Mus musculus: one gene and its partner. The protein of the gene in region 1 purifies or fractionates together with the protein of each later gene. This does not show direct contact. Links are inferred from orthologs where the notes say so. Each region holds a gene or a part of one and is shown in the gene's direction. Other genes may lie near its edges. The genes, in order: Stk40 and Trib1.

Region 1 (3,809 bases):
TTCTTTCTTTCTGGTGTTGGCCAGAGCCTAAGTTTGCTTCTTCTGGTACTTTGGGCTCCTTACTCTTTCTCTTAAGTCCCCCTCCCCCACCAGGTGACTGCTTGCTGCTGGTTGACATCTATTTGGGTTGAAATAGCATGGTATTTCCTTCTCTTTTCTATTTCCTTTCCCTGCATAGCTGCTGTGTTTGCAGGTTGCCTGCCCTGGGGTTTAAATTTTAAAGAGGAGGGGCTGCCCATAAAGTGGAGGAACAACATGTGCCTTCTGGGATGCTCCAGGAGGAGAGCGAAAGGCGCTTGTATCCTGTGCCACTGTATTTGACATTTGCCATGGTGAGGACGGACACATGGCCTCGGACACACAAGGCAGTGCTGTGCCACGCCGCTCCATCCCAGCCCCTGGTTTTGGTTTGTTTGTTTTTGTTGTTATTTTTGTTTGTTCGGTTTTTCGAGATGAGGTCTGGCTGTCCTGGAACTCACTTCTATAGACCAGGCTGAACTCAGCTTAGTCCACTTGCCTCTGCCTCCCAAGTTCTGGGATTAAAGGTGTGCACCAAGCCTTGGGTTGTTTGCTTGCTTACTTGTTTTTACAATTTTAATAGGATATACTTCACATACCATAAACTTCTACCTAAGGAAAAGGGAAACTTGCAAAATGGCATCAGAGTGTGGTCCATATTTCTACAGTGATTTATATTACTTCTTATGAGAGTGAAAACCTATGAGACACAGAAGCCTGACTGGAGAGCAGCTGTCTAGGTGGTGAGGTTAGGTTCCTTGGTGTCTGTGTTGGCCCTCTTTTAAGTGTTGGTACAGAGGAACCCTGTCTCAGGAAAAAAAAATTATTTCTATATGAAAATGAAATTACAAGAGAAGTTGAAGCTCCTTGTCTCTGAGCCAGCCCCTTGGGTAATGGCCACGGCTACAGTCCTAACATTGCATGTTGCTGGACGTCTCGCCTGGCTTCTGTCTCACCTCCGACTCAGCAACATTTACTCTCCTGGGCTCTCCCAGGTCATGCTGCTTTCTCTGCCCACCCCTGTTAACTTTTCTCTGAGCTTCAGCTTGTACTGGGGCACCTTTGTGAGCTGTGTCTTCCTCCTCCGCCAGGGCTCTGTCTCCCCCAGAGGCTGGACTTGGAGAATAAGATGTGTTTCTGTCGTAAGACTGCTCCAAACCCCGGCTCCCTGTATTTGCTTGTTCTGAAGCTTAGAGGGAATGGATCTTCAGGAACGTCACAGCCCCACTGACGGGCAGACAGTGGCCCTCTCTCCCTTCTTATCACCCCAGTCTGTCTATCCATCCATCATTTCCTCCTTCCTTCCTTCCTTCCTTCCTTCCTTCCTTCCTTCCTTCCTTCCTTCCTTCCTTTCTTCCTTCCTAACCTCCCTCCCTCCCTCCCTCCATTCATTCAAGAAATAGTATCTTGGAACTAGAGAGATTGCTCAGTGGGTGAGAGCACTTGCTACTGACTCAGTTCTCAATACCACATAGTGGCCCACAACTAAGCTGTAGTTCCAGGGATCCAGTGCCCTCTTCCAGCCTCCACAGGTACCAGACACGCAGGCAAAATACCCATACTATTTAAAAATTTATATTCATTAAGCCAGGCAATGGTGGTACATACCTGTAATCCCAGCACTTGAGAGGAAAAAGCAGGTGGATCTCTGAGTTCAAGGCCAGCCTGATCAATAGAACAAGTTCCAGGACAGCCGTGACTACACAGAGAAATCCTGTATTAAAAAAACAAAGAAGAGGTCTAGAGAGATGGCTCAGCAGTCTGACTACACTTCAGAGGACCTGGACTTAAGTCCTAGCACCCACACGGCAGCTCACAACTGTCTATATTTCCAAGGTCTGACACCCTCACATAGACATACACGCAGGCAAAACATCAGTGCACATAAACAAACAAACAAGTAGAAAAAACAAAAAGTATTCATTTTAAAAAAACATTATTTCGCATTCAATACTTTCAAATGGTTTATTTTTAATTAAAAATAAACAAATTTGAGTTTGAGAGATGGCTCAGCAGTTAAGAGCACTGACTGCTCTTCCAGAGGTCCTGAGTTCAATTCCTAGCAACCACATGGTGGCTCACAACCATCTGTAATGAGATTGCATGCCCTCTTCTGGTGTGTCTGAAGATAGCTATAGTGTATTTATATATAATTAATAAATAAATCTTTTAAAAATAATAAACAAGCCGGGCGGTAGTGGCGCACGCCTTTAATCCCAGCACTTGGGAGACAGAGGCAGGCAAATTTCTGAGTTCGAGGCCAGCCTGGTCTACAAAGTGAATTCCAGGACAGCCAGGACTATACAGAGAAACCCTGTCTCGAAAAACAAAACAAAACAAAACAAAACAAAAATAAATAAAATAATAATAATAAAACAAATTCAAGGTCATCGTTGGCTGCATAGCAAACCTCAGGCCAGTGCTCCTCAGACTCCATGGGCAGGAAGGAAGTCCTAAGCATCATGTCTAAGGGGCCACTTCCCAGGGTCCACAGCCCATCACTTCTTGGAGATGGCCTAGGAGGAAGCACCTCCTCCTCACAGTCTGAGTATTGGGGGTGGGGGCCACTTTGAGAACAGCTACTCAGGGCTGGGGATGGATTGCCTACCCTGTTTTTGTAGAGGTTCTTCTTCAGCACCCACACAGAGTCCGTTGCCTCCCTCTGACACCTTTCAGCAGATTCCCCTCCCCTCCCTTCCTTGGCAACCAACTGTGTCTACTGCCTTCAAGGACATCTGCTGTTGGTGTGTGGTGACTCTCAAGTCAAGGAGTTGTGATTCTTTTGTCTTCGGGAGCCTTGGCTGCTCCTTCTGGTGGGGAGGTGGTGGCTGCAGCAGCCATGTGATGTATCCATAAGTTAGTCTGGGCTCGAGTCAGGAACACTGTTGATTTACTCAACAGAAAGGTTCTTTTCTGTCTTGTTTAGAACTGAGAATGAAGCGGAGAGCATCAGACAGAGGAGCTGGGGAGACGTCCGCCAACGCCAAGGCTCTAGGAACTGGCATTGCTGGAAATAACGCAAAGAGAGCAGGACCGTTCGTCCTGGGTAAGCTCTAGCCTTGGATTGTGGCCAGGGAACAGCAGCCAAGTCTCTGACCTACACACAACAGAGTGAGGTGCCCACCAGGGCTGTGGTCACTCCATGGCAAAAGTTGTCAATTTTTTGTCAGTACACCAGCTTTATAAGAGCCAGATTCTGACTTCCCTTCCCTGAGAATATGAACCTCAGAACATGGACAAGCTCACAGAAGCACATGGCTACATTAGAACACATGACTCGCCATGTAAGGCACTATTTGACTTTCTCGAATGAAATGACTGATTTCAGTGTTTTTGTATAGTATTTCCCTGAGCCTCCTGTATTTATTTCGTTTTAGAGAAGGGTATTTTAAGACAGGATCTATGTTGACCAGGCTGGCCTTGAAGTCACAGAGTTCTGCCTGCCTCTGCCTCTACCTCCCAAGTGCTAGGATTAGAGGCATACCCTGGACTTTTTGTTTGTTTGTTTGTTTTTTGTTTTTTGAGACAGGGTTTCTCTGTATAGCCCTGGCTGTCCTGGAACTCACTCTATAGACCAGGCTGACCTCGTACCCTGGGCTTCTTATAGAATAGTATAGAAATTGGTTGGATTGAATGTTTCTAGGAGGCCTAAGAGCAGCAGGGTATTCTTGATGGTATCTGAGGCCCAGCCAGTCCAGGCTGTTGATGGCCAAAGCTGCAGATAGTATGGGCTCTGGCACCAGGGCCTTAGTAGGACTTTTGTTTTAGGGCAGCCTTTGTTTAGAGGCACA
Region 2 (3,909 bases), on another chromosome or scaffold:
GGATTTTGATAATAGGCATCTATGCTAAGTGAGGATCCAGAGACTCCAAACTGACCTGGTTTGCGAAAGAAGTGGGGGGGGGGGGGACCAAACAAAACCCAGCAACACAAAATGTGACTGCAAGCTGTTTCCAGGGAGCAAGGTCAGCCAGTTTCAAGAGCACACAACTCAAACTATATGAAAGTATACATGCGACCTTGTCCGCGTGCAGATGGTATCCCTGGCAGTGAATAGAATGACCCGTACCCCAGTATCCAATACTCCTGGCCGCACTGGCGCCCTAGACCCTCGGGCGCGCATTGCAGGCGGGAGGGGACAGGAATCTGGCGCCAGCCACGTGGGCCCCTTCCGCCAGTTCCCCACATCCTTTGTTTCCCACCGGCCGGAGCTCAGGAAGCTCTTTCGGCGAGTCACCGCGAAGGGGCGGCCCAGGAGCTTGGAGAGGCTATTTCCGTGCAATCCGGGCGGGCGGCAGGCGCGGGAGGGGCGTGGAGGTGGAGGCAGAGCAGAAGGCCCAGTGTTTGCTTTTATTTCATCCAACAGAAGGTTCTATTTGTGGAAGCGAACAGACGCTGGGGATTAGAGTTGGGAGGGGGCAGGAAAAGAGGGGAAGAAAAAAAAAGCCACATTCACTACCACGCACAGGTCTTCCCCGGAACTACCGCGTGGGGGTGAATGACTGATAATGGAATTCATCACCTTTCCTCTCGCCCCTTCCTCCGGCTGCAGCCGCGACTCGACGGCGCCCACAGCTCCACCGGGAGCTCCCCAAAGTGCAGAACGGCGGGGAGGGGGGGACCCACTAGGATAAAGGCGTGACCACTGGGTCTCAGCCAGCTGCCGGTGCGCAGCCAGGAGGTGCGCGCGCGGCCGCCGGGAGCTCGGTGCTCCATTGTGTTGTGTGAATGATGCGCGCGCACCAATCAGCGGTCGTTTCGCCCCTGCTGCCCCGCCCCTCCCGCCCACTTCCCCGGGAACCTGACGTCACGGGAGCTTTGCCTCCGCCCCCTCCCTGGGCTACGGGCCCGCGGGCCTGCGGTGGGGCGCGCGCAGCCTGCTGCCCAGCCCAACCCGGGGGGCGTGTGCGCGCGCCCAAGGCGTCCCAGGACGTTCCCACCTGCGCCTCGGCGCGCGCGGTCAGGAGCATCCCCAGGCCTCCAGCCACCCCTTACAGTTCCAGCCTCCAACTCCACCTCCCCTCCCCCCTAGTCTCCTCCCTCCGCTCCGGTGACTGCAAGCCGGGCGACGGGGCCGGAGTCGTCGCAGCCACCTCATTGCACAACCCGGCTTCCCAACTGTTTACACAGCCCGGGCTGTGAGTGTGTGTGTGTATACAGCGTGAGTCACCGGGAGGCGGAGGAGGTGGAGGAAAAGGAGAAGGAGTGCACTGGCCGGGATCAGTGCGGCACACACACTCATAGTCGGTCACTCTCTCTCTCTCTCCTGGAGCGCGTCTCGCTCGCTCACACGCCTGGAGCCCAGGAGCGCGCAGGATTCCGAGCGGCGCGGAAAAGTTGTACCGGCTTTTACGCCAGACTAATTGCTTTGGGAAGTGCGTTTGCTCGGAGAAGCCGAGGAGCCTGTGGAATCCTGTCCTCGAGGCTCAACACCCGGGAACTCGGGCCGTCTCCACGTCCCGGACTATCCACAGCCTCGGCAACAATAGCGGCGGCCACCGCCAACGAGGCGCCCAGACCTGGTGCCTGTGGGGGTCTGGAGACCTTAGCCGGCCTCCCACCCTTGGACGCGTGGCCAACGTGGTTCTGGTGGACAACGCCAGCGTCCTGGAACGGCTCCTCTTGGGGACCGATCCAAGCTCTATCTGCAAACTCCATCCCGCCGACTGGAAGAAGTCACAGCGCAGATCCAGGGATTTACAAAGCCGGGGCCGCTCCGGCCAGGGCCGCGATGCGGGTCGGTCCCGTGCGTTTTGCCCTGAGCGGCGCCTCGCAGCCCCGCGGTCCGGGTCTACTGTTTCCGGCTGCCCGGGGAACCCCGGCCAAACGCCTGCTGGACACGGACGACGCGGGGGCAGTGGCGGCCAAGTGTCCGCGCCTCTCTGAGTGCTCGAGTCCCCCCGACTACCTCAGTCCCCCTGGCTCGCCCTGCAGCCCTCAGCCTCCGCCCTCCACGCAGGGGACCGGCGGCAGCTGTGTGAGCTCACCCGGGCCCAGCCGAATCGCCGACTACCTGCTGCTACCCCTAGCTGAGCGCGAGCATGTGTCCCGGGCACTGTGCATCCACACCGGCCGCGAGCTGCGCTGCAAGGTAAGCATCCTGGGGCGGAGGTTGCGGGTCTGGATCGTCCACAGAAGTGCCTAGGTTCCGGCCCACCGGGATCACAGTCCCGCCAGCGCTTGGGTTTGGCAGAGCAGATAAGGGCGTTTAGTTGGATAAGGAGGGTATTTTGGTCAGCTTCGTGTTTTTGGAGGTTGAGTGCTTTCCTGTGGAGTGTTTTTTGGTGAGGGTTAGGCGGTCTAGAGGAAGTGCAGGGTTCAGTTCTTTTATCTCTGTTCTTTTCTTTGGCGCTCTGTATTGCTAGCGCGTGGCGTTCCATTTAAGTTTGGAATTGCAATGGGTTCCAGGGCCATGCCATTGCCCTGCTCTCATCCCCCTCCTCCCCCTGTCCTGGAAGGACGCCCTGCAGTGTGTGCCTCCTCGGGACTTGGAGCAACTGGCAAGCTCTTTGCGCGAGGCTCGCGGCATGGGTTCTGTATAGACCAAGTCGGGCTTCTTTTTACCTAGGGGTTTCTGGGCTTGAACTCCTGTTGGGACCAGCATACAGCCCACCCCAGGAAGTGTTGGGATGGGGTGGTCTTAAGCGTGGGAAGGCTTCTGGCCAGCATCGGAGTATTGGAAAACTTCCAGAGGCTCGCTTCCACTTGCTTTAGTTTGAGCCGGCGATTTTCATTGCAACATTAACAGGAGTACAACTAGATACAGGATGGCCGGTCTGGGAGAGCGCGTAGCCCAGGACTGCTTCGCAGTGTGCTCTTCGTGAGCCGGACACCCCATCTCTGGGCCATTGAGAGCCCCACTGACTCCTTTCATTCTCCTGCAGTTAAAAGTGGCATCTGGGTTTCCAACAACTCACCTGAAAGCCCCCCTCCGCCCCCCCCCCCCCCCAACGTGAGCGCCCCACCTCTCCGTTTGCTGCTGCCACCTACTGTCCACTCTCGTGAAATCTCTGATGCGTGGTCAAGCACAGAGAGAAACTCTTTCTTCTTGGTGGATGAGAACAGTTTTGGGAGAGAAACGGATGGGGCGGGAGGAGAAGGCAGCAGATATATATTTTTTTCCCAAGTTGGTACTAGAGCAGCCACCTCAGAGGTGGGGTTGGTCTGGGTCATTGTGCAACCCCTTCCAGTTCCTCTGAGCAGATAATAGCCGAATCCAGATGGTGACAGCCCGTGTGTCACCATTTCCAGTTGCGTCTAGGATATGAGTAACCGGGCTGAACAAAAGGCCCTTAAAGAGACCAGCCAGCTTCTTAGAGGATTTGCTACCCGTTCTGGGGAGGGGGGCCAACCAGGGTGGATGGGGGTCGAGGAAACAAACAGGAAAAAAGAGAAGACCTATAGAGGTGCCTATCCTCTCCTGTAAGAAGGTAACTACAGGCTGCTTCCACCTGAGTCTCAGCCATAGGCAGGCTGCATAAGGCCGCTTTGTCAGTCTCTCCTTCCAAGTCATCAGTTCCTTCTGACTAATGACAGCTCTGCGTGTTTGCTGCCTCAGCTTCCCGTGGAGGCTGCAAAGTCACCACATTCTTTGACTGTGCTCTGCTGAGCCTCCTGGGTTCGCAGGAGATGCATGCATGTTTAGCTGTTGATTTTTCACTCTTAGGGATGCCGGGGGTACCTTCCCCTAGCTACTTACTGTCTGCTAGGAAGAGCTACAGCAGGGAGCTGG

Evidence for each region.
Region 2: the proteins of Stk40 (region 1) and Trib1 purify together in Homo sapiens (affinity purification with mass spectrometry; 3 studies listed by BioGRID and IntAct, counting the BioPlex papers as one, with this or other methods). This does not show direct contact. The link is inferred for Mus musculus from reciprocal best matches to the Homo sapiens genes STK40 and TRIB1.

The regions. Positions count from the first base shown.
Region 1 is NC_000070.6:126,120,772-126,124,580, forward strand, and holds part of Stk40 (serine/threonine-protein kinase 40), read left to right. Parts: intron 1-2,944; coding exon of another isoform or gene 2,945-2,952; coding exon 2,953-3,064; intron 3,065-3,809. UniProt on the Homo sapiens protein: May be a negative regulator of NF-kappa-B and p53-mediated gene transcription.
Region 2 is NC_000081.6:59,647,255-59,651,163, forward strand, and holds the start of Trib1 (tribbles homolog 1), read left to right. Parts: upstream 1-1,399; 5' UTR 1,400-1,908; coding exon 1,909-2,268; intron 2,269-3,909. UniProt on the Homo sapiens protein: Adapter protein involved in protein degradation by interacting with COP1 ubiquitin ligase. The COP1-binding motif is masked by autoinhibitory interactions with the protein kinase domain.